Elephas maximus indicus: one gene and its partners. The protein of the gene in region 1 interacts with the protein of each later gene in a pairwise test. Links are inferred from orthologs where the notes say so. Each region holds a gene or a part of one and is shown in the gene's direction. Other genes may lie near its edges.

Evidence for each region.
Region 2: the proteins of UBE2I (region 1) and RNF4 interact in a two-hybrid assay, tested with the Homo sapiens proteins (3 studies listed by BioGRID and IntAct). The link is inferred for Elephas maximus indicus from reciprocal best matches to the Homo sapiens genes UBE2I and RNF4.
Region 3: the proteins of UBE2I (region 1) and MAPK1IP1L interact in a two-hybrid assay, tested with the Homo sapiens proteins (3 studies listed by BioGRID and IntAct). The two-hybrid records come from large-scale screens. The link is inferred for Elephas maximus indicus from reciprocal best matches to the Homo sapiens genes UBE2I and MAPK1IP1L.
Region 4: the proteins of UBE2I (region 1) and SETBP1 interact in a two-hybrid assay, tested with the Homo sapiens proteins (2 studies listed by BioGRID). The two-hybrid records come from large-scale screens. The link is inferred for Elephas maximus indicus from reciprocal best matches to the Homo sapiens genes UBE2I and SETBP1.

What each region holds. Positions count from the first base shown.
Region 1 is NC_064830.1:58,456,639-58,463,463, forward strand, and holds the start of UBE2I (SUMO-conjugating enzyme UBC9), read left to right. Parts: upstream 1-3,825; 5' UTR 3,826-3,965; intron 3,966-6,825. UniProt on the Homo sapiens protein: Accepts the ubiquitin-like proteins SUMO1, SUMO2, SUMO3, SUMO4 and SUMO1P1/SUMO5 from the UBLE1A-UBLE1B E1 complex and catalyzes their covalent attachment to other proteins with the help of an E3 ligase such as RANBP2, CBX4 and ZNF451.
Region 2 is NC_064823.1:161,337,185-161,344,266, forward strand, and holds the start of RNF4 (E3 ubiquitin-protein ligase RNF4), read left to right. Parts: upstream 1-4,081; 5' UTR 4,082-4,191; intron 4,192-7,082. UniProt on the Homo sapiens protein: E3 ubiquitin-protein ligase which binds polysumoylated chains covalently attached to proteins and mediates 'Lys-6'-, 'Lys-11'-, 'Lys-48'- and 'Lys-63'-linked polyubiquitination of those substrates and their subsequent targeting to the proteasome for degradation.
Region 3 is NC_064828.1:67,342,398-67,349,230, forward strand, and holds the start of MAPK1IP1L (MAPK-interacting and spindle-stabilizing protein-like), read left to right. Parts: upstream 1-3,832; 5' UTR 3,833-3,992; intron 3,993-6,833.
Region 4 is NC_064829.1:53,290,875-53,298,154, forward strand, and holds the start of SETBP1 (SET-binding protein), read left to right. Parts: upstream 1-4,279; 5' UTR 4,280-4,474; intron 4,475-7,280.

The sequences.
Region 1 (6,825 bases):
TGACAGCTTTAGCAAATTAAAATACAGGATGCCCTGGTAAGTTTGAGTTTCAGATGAATAAGGAATATTAGTACAATAAAACCTGCAAAAGCCAGAACCTGTGTAAAGTGGAAATCTGTCAGAGAAGGAAAACTCAAACATTTCCCACTAAAACGAGTGGTACAAAAGTGTCAAAGGTGGAAAACTTGCGATACCCAGAAAAATGAGGCAGGCCTGTCGAGTTCCAGCTCTCACAGATTTCACTGTACATGTAGTCCCATACTTAAAATGGTTCTGTTCCAACAACTTAGTCATAAGTCAGTCCTGATGTAAATCAAATACCTAATTTTTTAGTTTTCATTATTATTGCCTTTTATTATCAGTATCTTTATAAATCTGATCTTTATTTCTCTTTGGGGGTTGGAAACATACATGTAAACTTACAGATATATTTTAATACATACAAAAAATACACAAATCATAAAAATTTACTCCTACGAAGAAGAGTTGGACAACATTGGCATTTTGTCAGTTGTGGTAACTCACTTGTGGAAGGTTCTGGATCATCTGGATTATATCTGGGAATGGAGATGTCGTTTCTAGTCAGAAAATTAGTGAGAGTAGTCTGTATGGTCCTTTTCTTCATATATTTCCTGGTAACGTATCTCGGCTTCCCAAATCTGCCTATCGACTTTAGCAGAGCGATCAGCATTTGGGTCCATGTTGTCAAGCAACTGAAGACCATGATTTAGTTCAGAAAACAAGTCAGCTAATCCTTTCACTGTAAAATTTTTTGACAACTTCCTCATTATTGGACAGGCCTTAACGACCTTCATTTTTATATCCATGTCTAGAACCTTCCTCACCTTCTTTTTTGGATTAGAACTTTCAGCGGCTTGACTTCTTTTACTAGACATATTGTTGGGGGTATAAGCAGTACAAGTGTGAGTTAGAGAAACTTGAACAACTCAACTTCAGATTAACAACTGATGCTTCTTATGGTACCAGATGCTGAATAAGATCACACCATAGGCCTGGTCTACAATGAAGTCAGCATCAGAGTCAGAACAATGAAGCTAGAGTTGTAACCGCTGTCAGGCGCTAACGCAGCTCAATTGTGTGTGTCCTTAGAGCTGAACATTGCTCAGCTTTCTATCCTTTTAAGACTCCAGACACCAATACCGACTTCACTGTAGACCAGGCCATAGCTTGCTTTGAACAGTCAATCATAAAACTGAACATTTTAGAGTGAACATCTGAGAACAATAACATTAGCAAATTACATGCAGCAACATTACATGCAATACATATTACTAATGGTAAGAGAAAACAAAAATCCTCACAATTGGACCAATAACCAACATTATGACAAATGGATAAAAGATTGAAGTTATTAAGGATTTCATTTTACTTGGAACCACAATCAATGCCCATGAAGGCAGCAGTCAAGAAATCAAAAGATGCATTGCATTGGGAAAATCTGCTGCACAAGACCTCTTCAGAGTGTTAAAAAGCAAAGATGTCACTTTAAGGACTAAGGTGTGTCTGACCCAATCCATGGTGTTTTCAATCGACTCATATGCATGCGAAACCTAGGCAATGAATAAGGAAGACCAAAGAATTGATGCCTTTGAATTATGGTGTTGGCGAAGAACGCTGAATATACCATGGACTGCCAGAAGAACGAACAAATCTGTCTTGGAAGAAGTACAGCCAGAATATTCCTTAGAAGCAAGAATGGCAAGACTTCAACTCACATACTTTGGACATGTTATCAGGAAGGATCAGTCCTTGGAGAAGAACATCATCCTTGGTAGAGAGTTGGTGAAAAAGAGAAAGACCCTCAACAAGATGGGTCAGAATTAACTCAATGGCAGTGGGTTTCAGCATCTGAAATTCTAATTTAACTGGCTGTACTAGTCTCTTAAGGAGCCTTGATGACAAGAGTTAAGCAGCTGCTAACAGAAAGGTCCGAGGTTCAAACCCACTAGCAGCTCTACGGGATTAACGATTTGGCAATCTGCTCCTGGTAGAAATTACCCTATGGGGCAGCTCTGTCCTGTCATATAGGGTCACTATGAGTCAGGATGGACTTTAAAGACAAGTGACATTAGTCTCCTGGGGCTTTGGTAGCAAAGTACCACAAATTTCGTGGCTTAAAACAACAGAAATTTCTTGTTTGGCTAGAAGTTTAAATCCAGGTGTCCACAGGCCATGCTCCTTCTGAATGCTCTAGGGGAGGATGCTTCCTTGCATCTTCCAGCTTCTGGTGTCCCCAGGCACTCCTTGGCTTGTGGATGCATCACTCCAGTCTCTGCCTCTCAGATCACATAGCCATCTTCCCTCTGTGTCTCTTGTCTTTTATAAAGACACCAGTCACACTGGATTAGGACTTCTCTCCAGTCACATTTACTTCCTCAGAGCAATAGGATGGATGGAGTGCATGGGGTTCATCCGGAGCACCCACTGAGGGCGCTGTAGGGGATAGGAAGGTGGACCACAGACTTCAGGGACCCGACAACCTCAGCCAGGGGACTCTGGAGGAAGGAAGGAGAGAAGGACGACTGGGGGTGGAAAGAAAAAGGGAAGAAGGGCAGAGAAAAATGAGGGAAGGAAGGAACGGAAAGGAGGAGAGAAAGGCTGGAGGTAGAAAAGGAGGGAAAGAGGTAGAAAAGAAGAATAAAAGAGTACCTAACAGTAGAGCACCTCAGGCCGTCCCTCCCCCTCCTCGGCTGGCCTCCCCTTCCCAGCCATCCAGCCCACAAGCCCCCACCGTCCTCGGAGCTGACACCTGGTGGAGGGGGGATTCTGAGAACATCTGTCCCTTCTGACCCCAAAGCGCCTCGGATTACAGTCCGGAGGCGAGTTAACCCTGAAGAAGGTGCCCTGTCCCCCTCTGTGAAGTTCGGTCTCAGAAGCCCAGCCGGCTTCGGGGCGCTGGGCTCTGCTGGGAACGAGAGGCTACAACGACTCCGACGAGGGATGAAGTCGCAGCAGGGCCACTTGTTTGCGAGCGAAACTTCCATACTTTCATTCGTTGCAAACACCGAAGACTCGAGAACTAGACTCTGGGTGCGCGGAACGGGGTCCTGCGGGCAGCGCCCCTCCCCCGCTGCCGCTGCCGCCGCCGCGGCCTCCCCTCCCCCGCTGCCGCCGCCTCCCCTCCCCTACGAGCCCGCGGTCCCGCGCCCCTCCCCCACCCAGGGCCGGCCCCCAGGTTAGGGACCATCCCCACTTACCCTCCCGTCGATCCTCCAAGCATTCGGCTTTCTGTACGGCCTCAGCTCATTGGGAAGATTCCAGGGACGCCCCGGCCAGGGTCTCGAACTGGCCAATCGCAAGAGGTTTCACAGGGCTCTGTATTCGGGGGATCGTCACCGTCCTGCGACGCTTGGGGGTTCCTTAGGCCTCAGTGGTCTCTGCCCGCCAGCGCCGGACCTTGACCCCAAGGAGACCCCCAGGATATATGCCCGGAGAGGTATCCGCCGGGCATCCGGGGAGCTCTTGGCGATCTCTGTCTCCCATTTCCCCCCTTGCTTGCTGGCGTGTCCTCGGGTGGACGCGCGCTTCCCGAGGAGGAGTTTCTAGACGCTCCCTCAAATTGGGGACGCGGCTCCTTTAAGGGCGCAGGTGTCTAGGCCTTCGCCTGACGGGAAAGTCGGCGCCAGACCGGGCTCCCGGGGAGGGCCCGGGCCGCGGGCGCGCGGCGGACGGCCGCAGGCGGCAGAGGACGCACGGTAGTTTGAGCGGCGCGGGACGTGGGGCTGCAAGAGCTGCGCGCGGGCCGGGCGCGCGGCGGGCAGCCCTGCGCAGGCCCCGCCCCGCCCCGCCCCGCCCGCGCCGGGGTCCTCGGAGCTGCTCAGGCTGCGCGCGGAGCGGGCTCGGGAGAGAAGTCCCGAGACAAAGAGAAGAGCTGCTGTTTCCGTCGCCTCCGTCGTCGCAAGGCTCTCCGCTCTTCGCGACTCGCCGGGCCGCGGCCGCCGGAGGTGAGCGCGGCCGGGAGGGCGGAGACCGCGGGAGCCTCCGGCCGGATCAGGCCGGGCGGCGCTTGGGCCACGGGGCGCCGGGCCGGCAGGCGCGTAGGGTCGGTGGGGAGGCCGCGGACTGCGGGGCCTGGCCGGGGTCGGGCGCGGGGTCCTAGGGCGGGCGAGCGGCCTACCCCTCCCGCGCCCGCCCGCCCAGCGCCCGCCTCCCCGATGCCGGGCCGCGGTCGGGACCCCGCAGTCCGCGGCGGACGGGGCTGGGCTTTCTCTCACCTTCTGGAAGGGGCTGAGAGGGAAGGTTGTCTGTGCTTCGAAACTTAATTCTGCTCGCCGAGTTGTGAGCTGCCGGGCTACGGGATGAGCTTCCGGGCCGTCCTGCCTTCGTTCCCAGCGTGGGGTTTTTCGGGTGGACAGCGTCCCCGTGGTTCTCTGGGGTCACGTCCCGGCCGCGCTCCTGGAGTTCCCATCACTTTCTTTCCTGAAAAGGGGGGAACATCCTTCTCTCTGGTGCGCCAGGCGGCCTTGCAGAGGTGCTGTGTGGCGCGCGGAGAGCGGAAAGGAGCCCGTAGCTCCGGAGCTGGGAGAGCTGAGGCCGGTGTTGACAGGAATGCGGCTCTGGAGGACGGCCGCACCAACCCGAAGCGCTCCTTTACCTTTGGGGAAATTAATTTCCGGGGTCACAGGGATGGACAGCAAACGTCTGGCGTCTTCCAGCCAGGGACAGAATGGACAGCAGGGAGTTGAAAGTCTTTCGTTGCAAAATCGCGGGCCCCTGGTGGGGGAGGCACGGGGGGATGCTGTTTGTGGTGTCTTCAAATCTCAAAACAAGGCTAAGTTTTCTTGCTGCTGTAGCGGCTGTCCGTGTTGTGGAGTTGGTGGGAGTCTGAAGATGAGCGCCTCACTTTAGGGAGAGTTTTTAAGATTGTTTTGTACCACTTAAATGGTGGTTGGAACTGGTAGGTAGTTGAGTAGGAGCAAGGGAAGGGAGTGATTAGTTGGGCGCTTGCTGGGGGCCTCCAGTCACCCTGAAATCCCAAAATCAACTCTTTTGGTTTTTGTAATCTTAAATTATGTTTAGTTCTTCAGTTTGCAAAGTTACTGTATTTTTTTTATTTCTATTTTAAAGATGTTTCACCTAAATGTTTTTTGCTACAGGAGAATCTGTGAGAGCTGGAACTTGACAGGACTATTTTGTTTTTCCTGGTCTCGCAAGTTTTCTGCCTTCGACAGTGTGCAGTCACCACTTTTTTGTCGTTCTCTATTAGTGAAACCCAGGTGGCATAGTGGTTAAGTGCTGTGGCTGCTAACTAAAAGGCTGGTAGTTTGAATCCATCAGGCGCTCCTTGGAAACCCTGTGGGGCAGTTTTACTGTCCTGTAGGATCTCTGTGAGTCAGAATTGACTCGATGGCAATGGGTTTGTTTTTTTTATTAGTGAAAAATATTCTTAATTCTTTTTTTCTGACAGGTTTCCACCTTACACAGGTTCCGGCTTTCGCAGGTTTACTGCATTAAGAAAATGTTGCTTTGGCATGGAGGACCTATCCAACTGGAAGCAGAGATTGATCCTGTGTTTGTTCTGATTTTTCTACAGAGAAATCCGACCCCAAACCTCTTCAGTGGTTAAGCAATGAATTCTGCACCCTCATGTGCCAGGGTGGAAATACTGGGTTTGTCAGCTGTGTCTCGAGGTTTGGGACCTTGCTTCAGAGACAGCCTGGGGTCCTGAGGTAGATCCACGAAAGAACTGGAGGGGTGCAGCCCAGGCATGAGGTTCTCCTGAGTGCCGGGTGCTTGGGCCTGCAGAGGTGGGTGCTTTTGTTTATGCCCCACCTGGTCCCACATGGGAGTCCCAGGCTTGGAAGCCTTTGGATTTGGATGGAGAAGGGCCAAGGCAGTGGGTTTGGGTTTGCTGGTTTGTTTTTTCTTTATCTGTTTCATCTTTAGTAGAATCCAGGGCTTTAAACCAGCCACTGCTGAGAATTTGCATTTCTAACAAGTTTCCTGCTGAGAGTTTGCATCTCGAGTTCCTAGGAAGTTATACATAAAAATCATGTGGGGATCTTGTTAAATGTGGATTCTGGTTCAGTGTATCTGGGATGGAAAAGCCCTGGCTATCACCCTTTTTGCAGATGAGTCAGTTGAGGTTGAGGAGAGATAAGAACCTTGCCCTCACTCCCACAGCCAGGAAGTAGCAGTGAAGTTCTCAGCTAGCGAGGCCTCATCTGAGAAGAGCCATGTTAAGAGGCACAGCCCCGCTGGAAGCCCAGGAGGATGGTGGAGGTGCAGGTCTTGGAGGCTCTGCCTGGGGTCCGCCCTGTGGGGTGTTTTTTACCCTGCCTGTCTCTAGCACTTCACAGTGAGAGCCTTTGCATCGTAACCGTCCTGCTCTGAAGTGCCTGGTAACGCTTAATACTCGTTAACTGAGTTTCCTTGCATTGAGGAAGGTAGATTCGATGATTTTAAGTGGGATTAGGATCGTGGCTACTTGTTATAATTAAAGATGTAACAATTGCCTGCATTCTCCTGACAGTGGTGGTTTTAGGAACGGACGGGCGGATCTTGGGGGCCCAACCTCTGCCTGGGATGGGGGTGGGTTTGCACCTTTAGTTCTTTGTCTTGATGCTGAAGCATTCTTTCTGTGTGTGATCTGGTCCATCAGGGTGGGAAGAGGGGCTCTTGGGCTCTTACAGGCACCTCTGGCACTGAGACTTTGCAGAACTGCCCCTATTATCTTTCACATGGTCAGAGGCGCCAGGATGGGCCTCCCTGGGCAGCTCTGTTCCATTATTGGAGCAGAGGCTGTGGCAGGTCCGGCACAGGGACTCCCAGGATCGCCGTGCTGCCAGCTCCTGAGTTTTACTT
Region 2 (7,082 bases), on another chromosome or scaffold:
GTGAAAGCCCTGTGGTCCACAACCAGTCAGGGAGAAAGTGCAGGACCGAGCAGCGTTTCATTTTGTTGTGCGTGGGCTAGCCGTGAGTTGGGACTGACTCGATGGCAGCTACCGAGCAGCGTTTCATTTTGTTGTGCGTGGGCTAGCCGTGAGTTGGGACTGACTCGATGGCAGCCGCCAACAATATTGGCAATGACGCTGGCTGGCAGGTAACAAGGTCCCTGACTACGTACCACACTCCTGAACCTGGACAGCTGCTCAGAGCTGGCTTGCCAGCACCTGGGGACTCTTCCAGGTACTCTGCTCCTACAAACCTGAGTTAGAGCAGGCCTTGGGCCATTCTCTAGAGGATGTGGCCTGAAGGCAGCCCTTATGTGGTAAACGTCAAAAATGTCTCCTTGTACCCATGCCTTTGCCATATGACTTGACACCTCCTCCCACCAACACGTGAAGTCTGATTCTCCCAGCCCTTGAATCTGACTTGCTTTGGCCAACAGGGTACAGCAGAAGTGGCTGTGTGCCATTTCTCAGCTTGGGCCCCAAGTGGCCTTGGAACTTCCACTTGCTCTCTGGGAACCCACCCTGCTACCATGTGAGCAGGCCCAGAGTGGTTTGCTGAGGAGAGGGACCATGTGGAGGAGTTGTCCCAGGGGAGCCCTTCCTAGACCACCCTACAACCAGCTGACCTCCAACATGTGAGCCCAGCCAGGAACCAAAACCATCCAGCTGACTTGTAGACTCATGAGCAACAATAAATATCTATTATTTGAAGCACTGAGCTTTGGGGTGATTTTGTTCGAAAGCAATAGCTAACTGATATACCCTCAAGGGGTCCACAGTCTAGACGCCTGCCTCCCCACTTCCTGTATGAGCCCTTAGAAAGGGGATCAGCCAGGGGGGCATAAGGTCTAGCTGGTGCTGAGAAAGCTCTCTCTGAACCTTTATTTGCTGGACTGCCTAGAGAATTGACATTCTGCTTAAGTGAATTTTCTGGGTAAGTGCAAGTTAGCCAGAAGACCCCTGCTGACAATGTCTGAACTCAGATAGGCAGGGGTTCTTATCTTGGAGTTAAAAAAGCAGACTCTCACGCTCCGTCCACAGAGATTCAAGCTCTAGGGTGAAGCCCAAGTATCTGCTTCGAACCAGCTTCTATGAGAGGGACTGTGGGCATCCCAAGGGGCTAGTCTTTCCTCTAAGCTGGGGACATTTAGCAGGAGGAGGGAGCCAGGGATACTCACACTGTAGGTTCAGTGTCAAGGGAGGTTTGGGAGGCCACGGAGGCAGCTTCTGGGCATGAGAGTAACATTTGTAATGACTGTTTTTCAACATCACATTTTCAATATATTAAAATTATAAAGAGAAAATCCTAGCTTTTTCTTAAGCTTTGAAATTCAAATTACGAATCTTATTCTATTTATAAGTCTGATTGTTTTTAACTATCATTTTGATTAATCACTGACGGGCCCATTTATAAACTGAAATTCCCTTAAGCATTTTAAACTGCATTTATAAATGTAAAATCTGATTTTAACATTCCAGTTGTTTGACTTCCCAAGTGTTTAAATAATTTTAATAGATGTATTATATGTATATATCTCTCTTAAATTTACAAGTTCTCTTAAACATTCCAATTACGATCACAAACATTGGAAAAAGCTTTTATTTTTTCAACCTAAAATCACTATCAGATACTCAACCACATAATCTACATTGGATCACATTTATGTCAGACATTCCAACATGCCAAGTTCCCTTACTACCTCATAAAGTATCAACACACAGATTGTTGACGGGTAACTCAAAAATACTAATGCTCTGTTTTTCATAAGGGGCCCTGGTGGCTAACCAAAAGGTTGGCGGTTCAAACCCAGCAGCCTCTCCGAGGGAGAATGATGTGGCAGTCTGTTTCCATAAAGATTACAGCCTAGGGAGCCCTATGGGGCAGTTCTACTCTGTCCTATAGGATCACTGAGTCAGAATCAACTTGTCGGCAATGGGTAAGCGGTTCCAGATCTGCTTTGTCGTTGCCACGCATAGCTCAACCTTCCAGGATTAAAGACCTTCCCCCCAAGGAAGGAGTCCATCCCAGGGCATTTGGGGTGACCTTCTCACTGCCAGAGGGCGCCTAGGGACCAGAGATGATAGCCATGGCCTGAGTATTCTCAGGACAAGAGGACAAGCTGGGCTCTCTTTTCTGGTTGCCATGCCACGTTCAAGTCCAAACCTGGTGCCTAGACTCAAGCCCACCACCCGATTTACTAGTCCAATTCTGGTCTGCAGCCCTTACCAGCCAGGGGGCTAGCATGCACGTGTGCAATGCTGCATTGAATCTGCCCCACATTACCCCTCTGAGGTGGATATTGTCCCCCTATAACAGGTGAGGGCATTGTTGAGACTTGCTTAAAGGATGGAGCTGGGATTCCAATTCAGGCAGGAGGGGTTCAGTTTGCGACCTTTTGAACCCTAGAGTTGCCCAAGATATCCCAGAGGCCACTGAGCTCCAGGCTTCTGCCACCAGGCTGGCCTCGGCCATGGCCCCTCTCCCAGGGGACAGCTCAGGCAGAGGTGTTCCTGCACAGGTTCAGGTCCTCCTTTCCCCATGATTTAGGAGATAATATTAGAGCCATTATTCCATCCTAGAATGTGACCCAGCTGGAGCTGGAGTCACAAGGACCCTGAGGTATAAAAACAATAGCTAGGACAATCTTGGAAAACACCTTTCAGGGAAATTTTCACATAAACAAATCATAAATGGAGCATAAAAGACCCACATAGTTTCCACTCTTATCTTGTTCTATTAGCATTTAGTGAATAGTAAGATTTGTCAGAATAGTAAAGACCCTCCAGACTGTTGTTACTGAAACCTGTACCAATGATTATTAAGAAAGACTATTCAAAACATATGATCACATTTTCTAGCCAGCCTGTGAAAAGGTGAAACTTTCAACAGTTTTGCCCATTTGTAACGTTAATGTATACTGATGGTTCTGAAACATTCCTTGGACTCTGACAGACTTGGCTCTAGCAGCCATTCTTTCCTATTCTGTACTATATCGTTGGACTCGGGCAGATACGGCTCTAGCAGCATGCTTGTCCATTTTCCCATTCTTGCTTATTCTGTAATATTTCTTTGGACTCAGGCAGACATTACCTCTGGCAGCATCCTTGTCCGATTCCTACTTTTGCGTCTTTGAATATATGCCGGATAAAACCTTTCTTTTTGTTTTACTGCACTTTGTCATGTTTCTACCCAGAGCACCTACACCCGCGGGCCTAGCGATAGTCCACTGTTAACCTGGCCCCTGGCCCTGTCAGACCTGACTCTGCCTCCCCCCCCCAGCTGCTCCCCATCTCTGGGCGTCGGGCGCTGCGAAGCCTTCCGTCCCTGCATTTGCCAGTCAACCTCTCCTCCTTCCCTCCCTCACTCCAGCTTCAGGGACACAGGGCTCCCTCTTCTGGAACCCTCTCCTTCCAGCCCATCAGCTCTCAGCTCCAGAGTCACCTTCTCCCGGGACCCCTTCCAAGACCCCTGCAGCGGGCTGCAGGTCCAGGCCCCGCTTCTGGTGGAAGGTCAGGCTCCGAGCCGCGCCAGCCTGGGGGCCCGGTTCCCAGGCGAGGAAGCTGGGGCCCAGAGAGGGGCGGGGGCGGAGCCGGGATTCCGGCGGCGGAACGGCCGGGCCTGGGCTAACGTCCAGCCGCGTCCGGCCAGGAGCACGGGGCTGGTGTCTAGGGCTGTCACCCAGGCGGGCACTCGGAGCCCTCCAGGCTCCGGAGACCTCGAGTCGGGTCGGCACCGCCGGGAGCCGCGGTTTCAGCGCTCCGCCTGGCCGCAGACCACAACTCCCGAGAGGCCTTGCGGCGGGCCGGGGTCGAGAGGGCGGCTCTGCCCGGAAGGCGGGAGCTGGAGCACGCGAGCGTGGGCGGGGCCGGAAGGAGGCGCGTTTCAAAGTGGTAATAGATGGCTCTTTTATCCAATAGCATTGAAAATATCCCCACTGACCCGACGGGCCGAGGGCTAGGGGCGGTGACTGCCAATAGGGACGCGAGGGGGGCGGTGCCACGGCCTCTAGAGCGGAAGTGGACCGCTGGTAGGCGGCGGCGTCTGGCTGGAGGAGTGCTCCGCGGACGCTGTGGAAGGGTTTCTCCGTCTGGTCGCGCTGCCGGCGGAGGGCCGGACTAAACCCGCTCCAGGTAAGGCCCTGCGGCGTGGGGAGGGAGCGGCAAGTCAGCGTCCGGGAGGATTCGGGGCTCGCCGCCTCGCGGCTTGATGAGGCCTCAGCGCCCGCGGCTCAGAGTAGCCTCGGCGCGGCGCTGACCGGCTCAGGGCCCCGACGCCGGGCCTTTCCCCGCGATCTCGGGCCCACGTGGACGCCCGCTCTGCCGGCCGCACGGACGGACCGAGCCCGGCGCGTCAGCGGAAGTGGGGAGGCCTGGGTCTGCGTCTGGGCGCCCCCGGCGGGCGGCGCCGCGGGGCTTAGTCTCTAACTTGGGGGGGAAACTGAGGGCTCCGGACGCGTCCAAGGTCACTCGGGGAGTGTGGGCAGGACAGGCCAGGGCTCGGGGCTGTGCGGCCGCTTGGGGAGGCCTCGCGCGGGGTTTTTGTTCCCCACCGACGGCGCCTCCTTTGTGCGCTCGCGCCACCGCGGGTCTGGGCTCGTGGGCCCCGTGGGAAAGCCTTGTCTGGGCATGAACGGGGCGGAAGACGTGTGGGCGGCCGCTCGGGGAGCGCTGGGGGCCTGGCCCTGGGAGCGCCCCGCTCGAGCCCCGGCACCCAGTGGGCCCTCGGCACCGGGAGCGCCTGCCGACCCCGCTGGTGGCTGCGGCCAGGCCTGCCTGCCCCCCGCCCCTGCAGCGCTCTGCGCCCCTGCACACAGGTGTCGGCAGACTGACCCCAGACACCGTGCTCGGTAGACAGCTCTCCTCCTCCGCCTGTGGGTCCTTTGAAGAGGAAAGGAAGAGTCGGAGCCGTTTTTGCGGATATCGGGTTTTGTCTCACCCTCCAGCTGCCCCTCGACGTTGGCGATCACACCTCCTGCTTCTGCCCCCAGTTGTGGGATCTAGTCCAGCGGTCTCGGCTCTGCAGGCTTGCCTTGCGCCTAGGCTGCCGGGGCGATCCGGGAGACTGAGGCCCACAAAGGTCAGGCGGTCCGCCCAAGGGTGCACAGCCAGGTTCCTGACTGCAGAACTAAGCTTCTGAGGTGAACGACCAGGAGTGCTGGGGCCGCCAGCGATCAAAGGGTATCGAAGGGAGAATCATTTCTTCTCGTGGTTTGGTTTGGAAGAGGAGGGGAGACTTGTTTGGCTCACTTTTATCTGAGTTTGAGGTAAAAATGGGAACGTTCAAATGGAAATATATTGCTGGCTTTCGTATTGCCTGAATTTGAGCGTCCAACTCTGATGCAAAAATCTTTAATATAATGTTTTCTAGACCTTTTTCATTTGTTATTATCGTCAGCTCTCTAAGGGACCTTTGTAGATGTATTTTTTTCTCTAATTATTTTCCCCTATGAATTTTTTTTTTTAACTAACGTGTTCTAGGTGAAAGTTTACGCAATGAATTACCCCTTCGTCGAATCGACTTGATGGCAACGGGTTTGATTATTTTTTGTTTTTTAATGGTTACAGTTTTTACTGTCAGCATTCTCATTACTGGTGTTCAGTTTGTTCTGTTTCCACTGATCCAGCTTCACTCCCCCTTCTTGCCTTCTCATCTTTGATTTTGGGTAGATGTTGACCGTTCGGTCTCACGTAGTTGTTTAAGGGAGTACAGTCCTCATGAGTGATATTGTTTATTTTACAAGCTGATCTATTATTTGTCTGAAAGGTGAATTGCAGAAATAGCTTCAGTGACAAGTTCTAACGGTATCTTAGAGCAGTAGTCTGGGGGGATTTCTCTGGTCTCTATCAGTCCAGTAGGTCTGGCCTTTTTTTTTTTTTTTCAGGAATTTGTGCTTTCTACGTTTTTATCCCATTCAATCCACGACCTTCTGTTGTGTTCCTGGTCAGAACAGTCGGTATTGGTAGTCAGGCACCATCTAGTTCTAGTTCTGGTCTCACGTTAGAAGAGGTGCTGGTTTGCATGGGCTTTTAGTCCAGTGGAGTAGTTTCATCTTTGAGACTTTGATTTTCTTCATTTTCTTTTGCTCTATATAGGTAGAGACCAATAGTTATATTTTAGATGTTAAGCTTTTAAGATCTCAGATGCTACTCACCAAACTAGGATGTGGATCATGATCTTTGTGAATTACGTTATGTCAGTTGATTGTGTTCTGAGACTGTGGTCCCAAGTCTTTTAACTCAGTAAACCAATCCTGCAAGTTGTTTGGATATGTCTAGAAAGCCTCTGAAAACTGCCCCTGTGTGGTTTGTTATATATGCAGATACGTATATGCGTCAACCACAAACGTGCGTAAATGTACGTGTATGTGTCTACAGATACATCTGTGTGCGCGTGTGCATTTGCTCTCATGTTTTTCTGTATGTATATATTTGTCCGTATCTACCTGCTTTAGTATCCTAAGTTAGCACATTTTTGAGGTCTTCTGAGGTCTGTTCTTGGAAATGGTTCTGAGAGACATGCAGCAAGAGATAGGACTGGAAAAATAAACAGGGACCAGATGACCAGCGGTGTTTGGTGTGTCTCCACTTTGAGGAGTTTGGAATTTATTGTAAGGCCAGTGGAAAACCACTGAACTAAGTTTTAAGCACAAGGAAGTGACACAGTTAGAATCACATTTTAGAAAAAGCACTATGCTGTGAGAAGGATGGATTAGAAAGGTGGGTAGGACTAGTGGCCTAGGGATAGTTAGCGCCAGGATAGTGACTGTGGGAATGGAGTGAAATGGGTGTGTTTGAATCTGTGGAACTTGGTGCCTGTGCTTGTCAGCTGGCCAGTCATTCCAGTTCATCACTGGCTCTTAAAGGCTGTGAGCAGAGCCCACGTCCAGTAGTTCATACCCCCATTGGTTTCTGGAAAAGAGTTGAGGGTGCTGCTCAGTAAGTAATTGGCTTATACGCAGTATAAAAGTGAATTTGTAGATTCATTACGTGTGTTGGCAGTGTCCGTCTTTATTGAAATGGTT
Region 3 (6,833 bases), on another chromosome or scaffold:
TAACTCTTCCTTTCATGAAAGAGTTCTCTGTAGCATGTGATGCTGTTTGATGGCATTTTACCTATAGTAGAACTTTTTTCAAAATTGGAGTCAATCCTCTCAAACCCTGCTGCTGCTTTATCAAACAAGTTTAGGTAATATTCTAAACCCTTTGTTGTCATTTCAACAATGGTCACAGCATCTTCACCAGGAGTAGATTCCATCTCAAGAAACCACTTTCTTTGCTCATCCGTAAGAGGCAACTCCTCATCAGTTAAAGTTTTATCATGGGATTACAGCAATTCAGTCACACCTCCAGGCTCCACTTCTAATTGTAGCTCTCTTGTTATTTCCACTACATTTACTGTTGCTTCCTCCACTAAGTCTTGAACTCCTCGAAGTCAAGCATGAGGGTTGGTATCAACTTCTTCCAAACTTCTGTTAATGTCGATATTTTCACCTCCTCCCATGAATCATGAATGTTCTTAATAGCATTTAGAATGGTGAATCCTTTCTAGGAGGTTTTCAATTGACTTTGCCCAGATCCATCAGAGGAATCACTATCTATGGCAGCTATAGCCTTCAAACTGTGTTTCTTAAATAATAAAACTTGAAAGTCAAAATTACTCCTTGATCTACGGGCTGCAGAATGGATGTTGTGTTAGCAAGCATGAAAACAACATCAATCTCCTTGTACATCTCCATCAGAGCTCTTGGGCAATGAGGTGCATTGTCAATGAGCAGTAATATTTTGAAACAAATCTTTTTTTCTGAGCAGTAGCTTGCTACAGTGGACTTAAGATATTCAGTAAACCATGTTTTAAACAGATGTGCTGTCATCCAGGCTTTGTTGTTCCATTTATAGAGCACAGGCAGAGTTGATTTAGCATAATTCTTAAGGGCCCTAGGGTTTTCATAATGGTAAATGAGCATTGGCTTCAACTTAAAGTCACCAGCTGCATTAGCCCCTAACAAGAGAGTCAGCCTGTCCTTTGAAGCTTTGAACCCAGGCATTGACTTCTCTTCAGCTGTGAAGGTCGTAGATGGCGTCTTCTTCCCGTATAAGGCTGTTTCATCTACACTGAAAATCTGTTGTTTACTGTAGCCACCTTCACCAATTAGCTTGATCTTCTGGATAACTTGCTGCAGCCTCTACATCAGCACGTACTGCTTCACCTTGCACTTTTATGTTATGGAGATGGCTTCTTTCTTTAAACCTCATGAACCAACCTGTGCTAGCTTCAAACATTTCTTCTGCAGCTTTCTCACCTCCCTCAGCCTTCATAGAATTGAAGCGAATTAGGGCCTTGCTCTTCATTAGGCTTTGGCTTAAAGGAATGTCTTGGTTTTCTAGTGCTGCTATAACAGAAATATCACAAGTAGATGGCTTTAACAAAGAAAAATGCATTCTCTCACAGTCTATAAGGCTAGAAGTCTGAATTCAGGGTGCTAGCTCTAGGGGTAGGCTTTTTGTCTCTGTAGGCTCTGGGGGAAGGTCCTTGTCATCAATCTCGCCCTGGTTGAGGAGCTTCTCACCACAGGGACCCCAGGTCCAAAGGATGCACTGTTCTCCTGGCTCTTGCTTCTCGGTGGTATGAGGTCCCCCTGTCTCTCTGCTCTTTTATATCTTAGACTAGATTGGCTTAAACTGTAGATTAATCTTGTAGAGTCAGTCTACATAACTACCGCTAATCCCATCTCATTAACATCATAGAGACAGGATTTACAACACATAGGAAAATCACATCAGATTACAAAATTGTGGTCAATCAACACAATACTGGGAATCATGATCTAGCTAAGTTGACATATTTTTGGGAGACACAATTCAATCTGTGACAGGGAACGTTGTCATTGGCTTGATCTTCTATCTAGACCACTAAAACTTTCTCTGTGTCAGCAGTAAAGCTATTTCCCTTTGGAAACCCTGGTGGCAGAGTAGTTAAGTGCTATGGCTGCTAACCAACAGGCCAGCAGTTCAAATCCTCCAGGTGCTCCTTGAAAATTCTATGGGGCAGTTCTACTTTGTCCTATGGGGTCGCTATGAGTTGGAATCAACTCGATGGCAGTTGATTTTAGTTTTTGGTATCATTCCTGTGTTCACTCGAGTAGCACTTTCGATTTCCTTTAAGAACTTTTCCTTCACATTCACAACCTGGCTAACTGGCGCAAAAGGCCTACCTTTAGGCCTGTCTTGGCTTTCGTCATGCCTTCCTCACTAAGCCTAATCATTTCTGGCTTTTTATTTAAAGTGAGAAATGTGTAACTCTTCTTTTCACTTGAACACTTAAAGGCCATTGTAGGGTTATTAATTGACCTAATTTCAATATTGTCATGTCTCAGGGAATAGGTAGGTCCTAGGAGAGGGAGAGAGATGGGGCAACGGCCAGTCGGTGGAGCAGTCAGAACACACACAACATTTATCGATTAAGTTCAAAGTATTATATGGGCGTGGTTTGCTGTGCCCCAAAACAATTACAGTAGTAACATCAAAGATCACTGATTACAGATTAGCATAACAGATACAGTAAAAATAAAAGTTTGAAATATTGTGAGCATCACCAAAATGTGACACACAGACAGGAGGTCATCACATACTGTTGGAAAAATGGCTCCAATAGACTTGCTCCATGCAGGGTTGCCACAAACCTTAAATTTGTAAAAAAAAAAAAAAAACGCAGTATCTGTGCAGTGCAATAAAGCAAAGCACAGTAAAAGTAGGCATGCCTGTATTTGTTTTTTTTATTTTTTAAAAATAGACTATTGAAGTATAATATAATTTACATACAGTAAAAATGTATTCACTTTATGTGTAGCATTCAATGAGTTTGGTTTTTTTGTTTGTTTTTTGGTTGTTTGCTTTTTGGTATGTTAGGTGAAAGCCTACAGAGCAAATTATATTCCCATTTCATAGTTTGCACCATAAATCGCTTCATGGTCTTGGTTTCATTCCCCAGCACATGTCATGCACTCTCCCCATTTCTGCTCTGGGTTTTCTGTTTCCTTTCGTCCTAATTTTCTACCCCTTCCTGCCTTCTCATCCTTGCCTTTGGGCAAATGTTGCCCTTTTGATCACCTATAATTGATTATTGTTTTTGTAAGTAACACGTTCCTCTCTGGTGTTATTGTTTATTTTATGGGCTTTTCTCTAGTTTGGCCTGAAAGTGGCCTCCGGAAATAGTTCCAGGTTAGAAGGGTATTTCAGGGCCATAGTCTCTCGGCTAAATATCTAGCTCTTGCTATTTTTTGCACACCATATACTTATGACATCTTCATTACTAGCTTGCAGGCTCCTGATGACTAGGGCCATGTCCTAATCACTCTTTGGGTCTGATAGAGTAGATGTTTAATAAATGTTTATTCAATAAAGAAGGTGTGGGGAAAAACATGGATCAGGAAAAATCTGAAAAGATGACTGTTCCTTTAGTTAATATCAATTATCAATCCGTTTCCAAACGTCTTCCCTTTTCTGCATTGTTCCTTTAGCTCTTCTCAATTTTGACTGAGGGTATCTGCGTCTCCCAGAATCGGGCCGCTAATTGGCTGCATACACACCTAGCCAGCTTCGAGGCCTGGCTGTAAAAACCGCTGAGTGCAGGGAATCCAGAATCTGCCCTCAAGCCACTCAACGCAACAAATCAGGAATTTCCGCCTGGCTGCCCTGAACTTCACCAGTCACAAGCGTTTCCTCCGAGTCCTCAGAGCTCCGGAAAACCGAGGAAGTTTCCGCTGCATCAAGAGAACAGCCGCTCCACTACGGCCGCTAGGGGGAGCCGCAGTGCCGCCGGGGGCCTGAGGGGGCGCGCGCGGCCCAGCCCGACGGGAGGAGGAGCGCAGGCGGGGACAGCGCGCGAGGCGTGAGGCGCTTCCTGTTCCGGCGCCAGGAGGAGCCGCGCGCCGCTAGTGCTGTAGCTGCTGCTGTCGTCAGTCAGGCTGCGTTCGGTTCTTCAGCGCCCAGTTCTCTGGGACCCATCGTCGCCTCTAGACTTTGTTTCGGGGTCGGATCTTGCCGGGTGAGGCTGCTTCGGCGCTAGTGATGGTGGTAGAGGGTGGCGGGGGAGCTCAGGTTGAGGGGCTGGCGGGCGCGCCCAAGCGGGAGGCGGGCGCGGCAACCGAGGTGCCTTGAGTCATCTCCAGTGCTTGGGCTGTGGTTCCTCACGTAAGATTCTCTCGGCCACCCCGCTGCGGGTTCGCCTCCCGGATCACCCCCAAGGAGAAGGCGTCGGAGGCCGGTGACGTCACGCCCGGCGGGTTTGTCCGCCCTCGATGTCAGGCCTGGCTCGGGGGACGGGGGAGGAGGCGGGTAGCTGGCCTGCCCCTCCCCCACCCCGACTCGGCGAGCGCGACCCGCTCCGTGGCCGGTTCGCTCTCGTCAATCCCGCATTCTCTTTGTTCATTTGGTCCCAAAGGGCTGCCAGCCTCGTGCCCCTTGGCCCTGACCCTCTGAATTCATTAATTTCTAACGAAAAGGGAGCGAAATACTCGCATCGAGCCTTAGAGGAATCTCTGGCGCTTATTTAAGATTTCGCAGTTGTGACAACGTTGTGCTTATTTCTGACTAGAAGAGTTGCTAACAGATACATCAGATGAATCGCCATGACAGAAACTACCAGAGGTGCTGAGTTCTGTAAGACTCTTTCGGGCTGAGGAGCCCATATTGTGCATTGTAGTTTATATAATTAGCCTAGTCTTTGACCTCGGAAACCAAGAATAGACAATAGGTGCTAATGCAGCAGCAAACTAACTTCACTTGACTGAAAATTTTTTTACACACTTGTACACTTGATGGTTATAAAGCCCTGTTTTGAAAACCTCAGTACAGGTAGCCTTCAGAAGGAATTTGTTCAGTAGTGTTCTTTGGGCAAGAAGAATAGGTATTTTTCTTGCTTCCTAGTCAAAACTAGTCTGCCTCACAGACTTAGTTGTTCTTTTCCTCTCTCCAGGCAGAATGGTAATATCTGCCCCCAGTCCCTTAACCCAAACCCTTGGGGTCACTATGTTTGGAATTCAGAAATTTTTAGATTTTAGAAAGATAATATGGTGCCTAGGTGTGTAATAAAACTCCCGGCAGGGCTAAGGGACAACAAGCTGATAAAACCCACTGGCGTCGAGTCGATTCCGACTCATAGCAACCCTATAGGACAGAGTAGAACTGCCCCATAGAGTTCCCAGGGAGCATCTGGCAGAGTCGAACTGCCAGCCTTTTGGCTAGCAGCCGTAGCACTTAACCACTACGCCACCAGGGTTTCCACAACCTGATAATCCAGCATTAATATTTGTGTGGCAATAGGTTTGACTCTTCACTTTAAGTGGGGATCAGTTAATAAAAAGGTTATTAAAAAGATAGGAAAGTAAGAAAAGACCAAAATGGATGTCAGTAGAGACTCTGAAATTTGTTCTTGAATGTAGAGTAGCTAAAGCGAATGGAAGAAATGATGAAGTAGAAAAGCTCGACTGAAGATTTCAGAGGGTGGCTCAAGGAGATAAAGTATTATAATGAAAGGTTCAAACACCTAGAGTTAGAACAGCAAAAGGAAAGAACATATTCTACATTTCTCAAGCTGAAAGAACTAAAGGAAAAGCCTCGAGTTGCACTATTGAAGGATCCTATGGGTAATATACTGAACGATGCAGGAAGTATCAAAAGATGATGAAAGGAGTACACAAAGTTGCTGTACCAAAAAGAATTGATCTGGGTTCATCCATTACAGAAAGTAGCATATCATCAACAACTGATGGTATTGAAGGAAGAAGTCTAAGGTGTACTGAAGGCATTGGCGGAAAAACAAGGCTTCAGGAATTGACAGAATACCAGTTGAGGTGTTTGAACAAATGGATGCAGCACTGGAGTTGCTCACTCCTCTATGTCAAGAAATTTGGAGGACGGCTACCTGGCCAACTGACTGGAGAACCAGATCCATTCCAAAGAAAAGTGATCCAACAGGATATGGAAATTATCAAACTATCATAAATATCACACACAAGTAAAATTTCGCTGAAGATAACTAAAAAAATGGTTGCAGCAGTACATCGACGGTGGACTGCCAGAAATTCAAGCCAGATTCAGAAGAGGACGTGGAATGAGAAATATTGCTCATATCAGATGGATCATGGCTGAAAGCAGAGAATACTGTAAAGATGTTTATATGTGTTTTATTGACCATCAGAGACATTCAACTCTGTGGATCATAATAAATTATGGATAGCGTTATGAAGAGTAGGAATTCTAGAACACTTAATTATGTTCGTGAAGAACCTGTACATAGACCAAGAGGCACTCATTCAAACAGGACAAGGCGATACTACGTGGTTCATCAGAGTTGTATACTTTCACCGTAGTTAGTCAATCTGTATGTTGAGCAAATAATCTGAGAAGCTGGACTATATGAAGAAGAGGGCATCAGGATTGTAGGAAGACTCCTTAACAACCTGCAATATGCAGATGACACAGCCTTGCTTTCTGAAAGTGAATAGGACTCGAAGCATTTACTGATGAATATCAAAGACTACAGCCTTCAGTATGGAACCCTGGTGGCACTTGGCTGCTAACCGAAAGGTCGGCAGATCGAATCTGCCAGCCACTACTTGGAAAACCTATGGGCAGTTCTACTCTGTCTTATAGGGTCACTGCGAGTAGGAATCAACTTGACAGCAACAGGTTTGGGGGTTTTCTTTTTCCATATGGATTACACTTCAACATAAAGAAGTCATTTCTCACAACTGGACCAACTGAAGTTGTCAAGGATTTCATTTTACTTGGATTGATGCCCGTGGAAGCAGCACTCAAATAAAACAATAGTACATTGGGCAGATCTACTGCAGTAGACGTCTTTCAAGTGTTAAAAAAGCAAAGA
Region 4 (7,280 bases), on another chromosome or scaffold:
ACTATATATTAAAAATTATTATATGTATTTAATATATAATGTATTATATGTAATTTAGAAGCATGTGTTATGTTCTGGTGATTCAAAGTAGAAATCAAAGCACAAAATACTAATGCCAATCATTCTCTTTTTATATATTTGTTTACACACATATAAATTATTTTCAAATTAATGATAATTACATTAATATGATTATTAATAAACTATAATTTATTGTAATCATATATTTTGTTGTTGTTAGTTGCCATTGAGTCAATCCTGACTCACGGTGAACTCCTGTGTCCAGAGTAGAACTACTCCATAGGGTTGTCAAGGCTGTGACAACAAATTGCTGGGCCTGTCTTCCAAGGTGCCTCTGGGTGGGTTTGAATCTCCATCCGTTCAGCTAGTAGTTGAGTGTTTAATCCTTTGTGCCATCCAGGGACTCCTAATTATATATGAATAGAATAAATATCCTATATATATGTATGGTATCTTTTACTATTTTATTTCATATCATATATATTACAAATATACATTTAAAACATATATCACATATTTTATATCTATCTATCTATCTATCATCTATCTATCTATCTATCTATCTATCTATCTATCTATCTATCTATCTATCTATCTATCTATCTATCTATCTATCTATCTATCTATCTATCTATCTATCTATCTATCTATCACAAACAGTGACAGGACCTCCCCTTTCTTTCCCCTCAACTCACTTCTCATGACCAAAGGATGGGCTAGTTGTAAGAAAGGTCCCCTGGATGAGAAGTCAGGGGGCATGGAGTCTATTCATGGCTTTGCCATAACTGTGGGACCCCAGGCAGTCCATTTAATCTCTTTCTCTTGTTTCCTCAACTTTAAGATGATGGGATTTGACTAGGTGATCTCCCAGATGGACTTTTACTGCACCAACTCTATATATCCTTACCATCTATTATAGTGAATCTTTAATAAGGCATGTGCTTTTCTGAATTGCTTTTCAAGTAAACAGAACAACCCAGGGGGACCCGTGAATATGCCTAGATGATAGGACGGAAAGGACCTGGGCAACAAGCTTTAGTTCTGGCTCAGATGATACAGCCAGCTGTGGGACTGGAAGCAAGTACTTCTGATTTCTGGGACTCAATTTCCCCATTTGGAAAGTGTAGGAAGCGACCTATATGATATTTTAGCTCTCCACAAGCTTTGATCTATGATTTCACAATCATTTACACAAGCAAATGGGCAAATGTCATCTGAATAAAGAGAATGGTAGTTTGACATTAGCATTTTGTGCTTTGATTTCTATTACGTAACACCAGCTCATAACCCCGGCAGATTTTTTTTTTCCCCAAATTAAGCATTACTTTTCTCACTACTAACCATACATGTTGAAAGCGAAGAGCACTCGAAGCACTTGCTGGTGAAAATCAAAGACTACAGCCTTCAGTATGGATTACATGTCAACATAAAGAAAACAAAAATCCTCACAACTGGACCGATTACATAATATCATAATAAATGGAGAAAAGACTGAAGTTGTCAAGGATTTCATTTTATTTGGATCCACAATCAACATCCCTGGAAGCAGCAGTCAAGAAATCAAACAATGTATTGCATTGGGCAAATCTGGTGCAAAAGACCTCTTTAGAGTGTTAAAAAGAAAAGTTGTCACTTTGAGGACTAAGGTGCCCCTAACTCAAGCCATGGTGTTTTCAAATGCCTCATATGTGCATGAAAACTAGACCACGAATAAGGAAGACCAAAGAAGAATTGATGCCTTTGAATTACGGTACTGGTGAAGAATACTGAATATACTATAGACTGCCAGCAGAACAAACAAATCTGTCTTGGAAGAAGTACAACCAGAATGTTCATTAGAGGTGAGGATGGCGAGACTTGTCTCACATACTTTATACATATTATCAGGAGGAACCAATCCCTGAAGAAGGACATCATGCTTGGTAGAGTAGAGGGTCAGCAAAAAAGGGGAAGACCCTCAGTGAGATGGATGGGCACAGTGGCTACACCAACGGGCTCAAGCATAACGATTGTGAGGATGGTCAAAGATGAGGCAGTGTTTTGTTCTGTTGTACATAGGGTCGCTATGAGTCAGAACCTACTTGACAGGACCTAACAACAACAACAATGGTGGCACAATGGTTAAGTGCTTAGCTACTAATCCAAAAACTGGCAGTTTAAACCCACCAGCTGCCCCATGGGAGAAAAGATCTGGAGGTCTGTTCCTGTAAAGGTTACAGCCTAGGAAACCCTATGGGGCGGTTCTACTCTGTCCTATAGAGTCATTACGAGTAGAAATGGACTCAAGGTAACCCAACAACAACCCAGCCATACTCCAATATAAAAGCTAGCAAAAGATCTATCGAAACCTTGCTCCAACCCAGGTCTTCTAATGATGACTAACAGAGGAAAAGTTTGTGGCTAATCAGAATATTCTTCTGAAAAAAAGATGACATCAGGGCTCTTGGGTCAGAGACAACTGTACTGTCTATTCAGGATCAAATTGAACCCCATCCAGAGACCCCACCAGAACAGAGCTGGGGGGCATCCTCTGACCCAGACTCCCTCCACCCCCCACTTCACTGCAAAATTCCTGTGAAGAGTGATGAGACCTGAAGAAGTTCCGAGACCAAACCAGCAGTTGAACCAGTTAAGCAGTGGCTGACATGGTTGGTGAAGGCACACCCCACACTCACCCTCCAAATCGTTCCTCAGTCCAAATTTCCAAAAACTCTCTTACAGAACCTGGTAGTCAGGTATCCTCTCAGAATGAGTTCTGAGTAAACTCTACCTGGAGGACTTTAAGCAAAACCAATCGTGTCTGTCCTATATTGTTCTATAATGTAGAAATGTCCCTGCAGGGTTCGATTCCTCAGTTGTCCTGAAAAGGCCTTATATTGCAGCCCAAATTCAAATACTCAAAGAGATGAAAAATACCACATTTTGGTAGAAACTGAAGACACTCCACCTTGTTCAGTCCCACCACCCTGAATAGGGAACTGCACCGGAACATGCCTTTATCATCTCTCCTCGACCTTCTCCTCATCAAGACTACACTTCTTGAGAATAACGAAAAAATGCACATGAGCACCCGAATGCATACATGCACCTTACCAAAAAAAATAAATCCCTGAGAGTGAAATGTAATTACCAGGGTAAAAAAAAAAAAAATGCACCCAGTTTCCAGAGCCTATCACATCTTGCGCCTCAGAGCAGCTCCCCCCAACACTGCTCCTGTTGTGTCAGATAGTGGCAGTGTTGAGCCCGGGAAGCGGCGCCGAGCCCGCGGCGGTCCCCGCGGCCGCCCAGTCTCCGCGCCTGACTCCGGCGCGCAGGAGCTACTGGGCCGCGAGGGCGCTGGGGAGCGGGAGGGGCGCGGGAGGCGGCGAGCGGTCCCCGAGCGGCCTCCACGAACTGTTTGCCTTCTCCCCCTGCCAGAGCTCCGCTCCCTCCAATTGACCGAAATCCCCCGAGCGCGGGGGTGGCGGGAGAGGTCGCTCGCTCGCTCGCTCCAGGCTGCACCTCCCCCGGCTCCCGCGGGAAGCGGCTCCCGGGCCCGGGAGGGAGCCGTGTGGCCGCCCCCTCCGAAGCAGCTGGCGGGGTGGCGGTCCCTGCTCTGCTCGGCCGCGCCGCGCTCCGACCCTCCCCCTCCCCAGCCCGCGCCCTCCCCCTTCCTTTCACTAGGACTCTGGGACTCGGGAGAGGGCGCGGGAGGCAGGCGCACGGGCCCGACCCCACTCCAGCGCGCGCCGGGACGCGGCGGGCGGCGAGGGGCGCGGCGGGGGCGCGGGGCGGGCGCGGCCATGGAGCGGCGGCGGCGGCGGCGGCGGCAGCACTAGCGAGCGCTGCGGACGAGCAGCGGCAGGGCCGCCCGGCGCCGCGGCCCCAACTGCACAGCTCAGCAAAAGCGCCCTCGCCCTACGCGCGCCGCCTCTGCGCGCCGGAGCCCGGCAACATTTTTGAAAGCTTCACTCCATCCTTGGAAGAACGGGGGGGTGGGGGGGGGGAAGCAGTGACCGGAGAGACGGGGAGAGAGAGACATAATTTTTTTTTTTTTTTTTTTGGCTCCTGCTAAAATTAGCCGGGCTCTCCGCGCGCCGTGCGAGTGTGAGCGAGTGTGTGTGCGTGCGGCGTGTGTGTGTGTGAATGTGATTACTCCCGGACTCCTCGGGCTCCGGAGACGCCATTTTCCCCCTTGATATCTCTCTCCAGAAATCGGTGGCGCGGCGGAGGCGGCCGCGCCGGGCGGGAAGCGCGGGGCCAGCCGGGGCGCCCGCCGCTCGCCGCCGCCTCCGCGCGCCCGGGGGCCCTGGCGCCCCCCCGAGCGAGGGCAGCCCGCCCGCGGCTTGCCGTTTGACAGATGCTCATCGCCATGGAGTTGCAGCAGCAGCACCTTTGGGGGCTCGGCCGAGCGACCGGAGCCAGGATCTGAGCGAACACCGGGGCCAGCGGAGCCGCTGCTGCCGGGACATGGGTGAGCACGCGCGGCGACCTTGGACAGGGAGCCCGGCGCCTAGCCGCCTGCCGCGCCGCTGGCCCCGGTGCGCCCGGGGCCGGGGGCGGCGTGTGTGCCCAGCATGCAAAAGTTCACATTGCCTCGCCGGGGCTTTGACTTTGCACCGGGCGGGAAAGGGGAGACAGGGCGGAGGAGCCGGGATGCGGTTCCCGGTCAGGTTGCCGGGGCTGGGCGCGATTCTGGGCGGCCCGCGGGTGGGCAGCGATGCTGGCTCAATTGAAGTGGCCGGTTGGCGGCTGCGATAATGGAAGCGTCGGGCTGAAGGGCTGGGAGCTTTTTGAGTTTCGCCTAATTGGGCCCCCCTCCCCCCTTGTGCACCCTCCCTTGGTCCCGCCGCCAGCGGCCTGGGCTGGAGCGTATGGCTTTGGTGAAGTGGACTGGACTGGTCAGCAGGATGGGGCAGGGAAGGGGCTGGGAAGGCGGCAAGATATATGCATCCATACACACATACATATATATATATATATATACATTTTGCTCTCTTTGTAACTTGCAGGTTAAGTGGAGCTAGAGAGCTGCATTGTAACCTAGTTGGATTTTTTTTTTTTTTTGAAGGGGGTGAGGGGAAGGATGCGTCAGAATCTAACGTGTCCTTAGTAGAGGAACAGGGGAGAAGTGGTCCAGTCAGCGAAGGTTGGTGTGTGCTTGTGTTGTGGCTGTGTGTTAGTCTTTCTACGAGAATATTAATCAATGGATGTGAGTTTCTTGCTCGTGCTCTCCAGTTTTGGGACTCTGAAAAGACAGGAATTCCCTTAAAAGCAAGACGAATGCCTTTTTCTTTTTCTTTTTTTTTTAAAGCACGCATTGTGTGTGTGTTTCCAGAGGAGCCGTGGGCTTGGGAATTAACGGCAGGCTTCCCCGTTCGGTGGTTTCCAGTGGGAAATCACTCCGGAAAGGGAACCCTTCAGTATCGATTTATTGTTTTTGTCTTTCCGACCATTATCCTTTTGACCAAAATACTCGCTGAGAAGTTCCACCGAGACAAAGTGAGGTAAACTGGACTGGGCAGATCTTTAGCAAGATGGTGATAACGATGATGGTGTTTTTGGTGTCTGTTTGTGATGGAAGCATTGTTGGGTAATAGCAATTTCTGATCGGTACAGCATGCTGATTCTTAAAAAAAAAATTAGTTGCTGCTGAAATGCTATCTTCCTGTCCCCCTTCCCTACACTCTGCAAGCGCCCCCTCCCCGGTAGAACAATTCTGAAATCCGATCCAAGTGGAAATATTTGCATTGGAGATCGGAAAGTAGTGTAATTGGAAGTAGGAGATAAGGCTGGAGCTGCTAGGGGTGTGTGTGGGGGGGGGGCGCGTATTGCCTCCAATGCTGCATTTATTCTTTATGTGCGTCTGTGCGGGGTGTGTGTGTATCTGTCTAAAAGGACTGTTGAGGAAGGATTTCCGATTCGTTTCCGCTTCAAATAAACTGTCCTGATAATCTCATGGTTGACGTCTAATGGCTAAAAGGGCAATTTGTGTGTTTCTTTATCCCTGCAGCAGCTCCCCTCCAGAAGGGCAGTTTATTCTGGGATTCTACAGCAGCTACTCTTCCTTGCCAGTCCCTATTGCCCCCCACCTAACTATCCATACCTTTCTCCCTAAAGTTTGGTTGGAGTCCATGGTCTCTAAGGAAATACTGGGATTACTTACTCTTCTACATTGTTTTTCTTCACTTCCCTTTCATTCCTTCACTCTCTATCCTGTTTTTCTTCTTTTTCCTGTGGATTTGTACTAAAAAATAACGTCACAAAGTAGCTGTCAGCAATACGATCTGACAGTTTGGCCCCATCTCTTACCTCCTTTAGATTACACAGATAAATATGCTCTGCCCCTTCCAAACTCATCTTCAATGGCAAACCGGGTTTGTGTGTGTGCGTGGGGGTGGGGGTGGGGGCAGTGGAGAAGAGGGGGTGGGGGAGCGTGGAGAGGAAGGGTGTTGTTCTATGTCTGCCACATCTGCTACCCTGGGAAGAGACCTGGGCCACTGCAGGGAGAGTTTCCTTTGCACGTCCCAGTTAGATGTTGCTTGGCTAGGATTGGGAGGCGGGGCCAAGTGGCCTGCGGCGTGGAGGGCGGAGAAAGTTTGTAGCACTTTAAAATGTAGACAGTTTACAACACCTCCCTTTTCTCCAGCTTTCTGTGGCTTTCCTGATCCCTAAACTCCTGGAGGGAGGAGTGTTCTCATCTGGCCAGCCCTGGAGTCCCAGATTTCAGAGCGAAATTGAAGGTGCTGTGTTTTCGGGCTGCGCTTGATCAGATTGCCTGCTACCAGAAAAGAGTGTTAGAAGAGTGTTTGGGGGCAGAGCAGAAGAGGAGGAAGCCAGCAAGTGTGGTTGAACCCAGAGTATTTGCAAACTGTAGGGAGAGTAGCCCAAGAAGGTATGGAGACCTGGCGCTCAGAGAGTTCCGCTTGGCGCATGGCATCCCCCCTCCCGGTTTAGAATAAGTCTTGTTGGTCTTGGGGAGTTGAATTGGTTTAAGAGCTGGGCAGCGGGAGCTGCTAGCCACAAGAGTAACTTGAGCTGAGCTGGGGGAGGAGGTGGTGACTGCATGCAATCAGGAGCCAGAGGAGGGAACCTGAAGTGTCTCTCTTACCAGGGAAAATAGATGTGTCACTGGAATAAACAAACTGGAGGTGGGGGAGGGGATGGCTTGTAGTGAACGTTAGGAGGAGCTTGTAAGAGGCAGCAACCTTCGTTAGGAAGGGGGCCACTTCTAGCTGGGGAGAAAATATCAGCTGCCTTATACATTCATGACTGGGCTA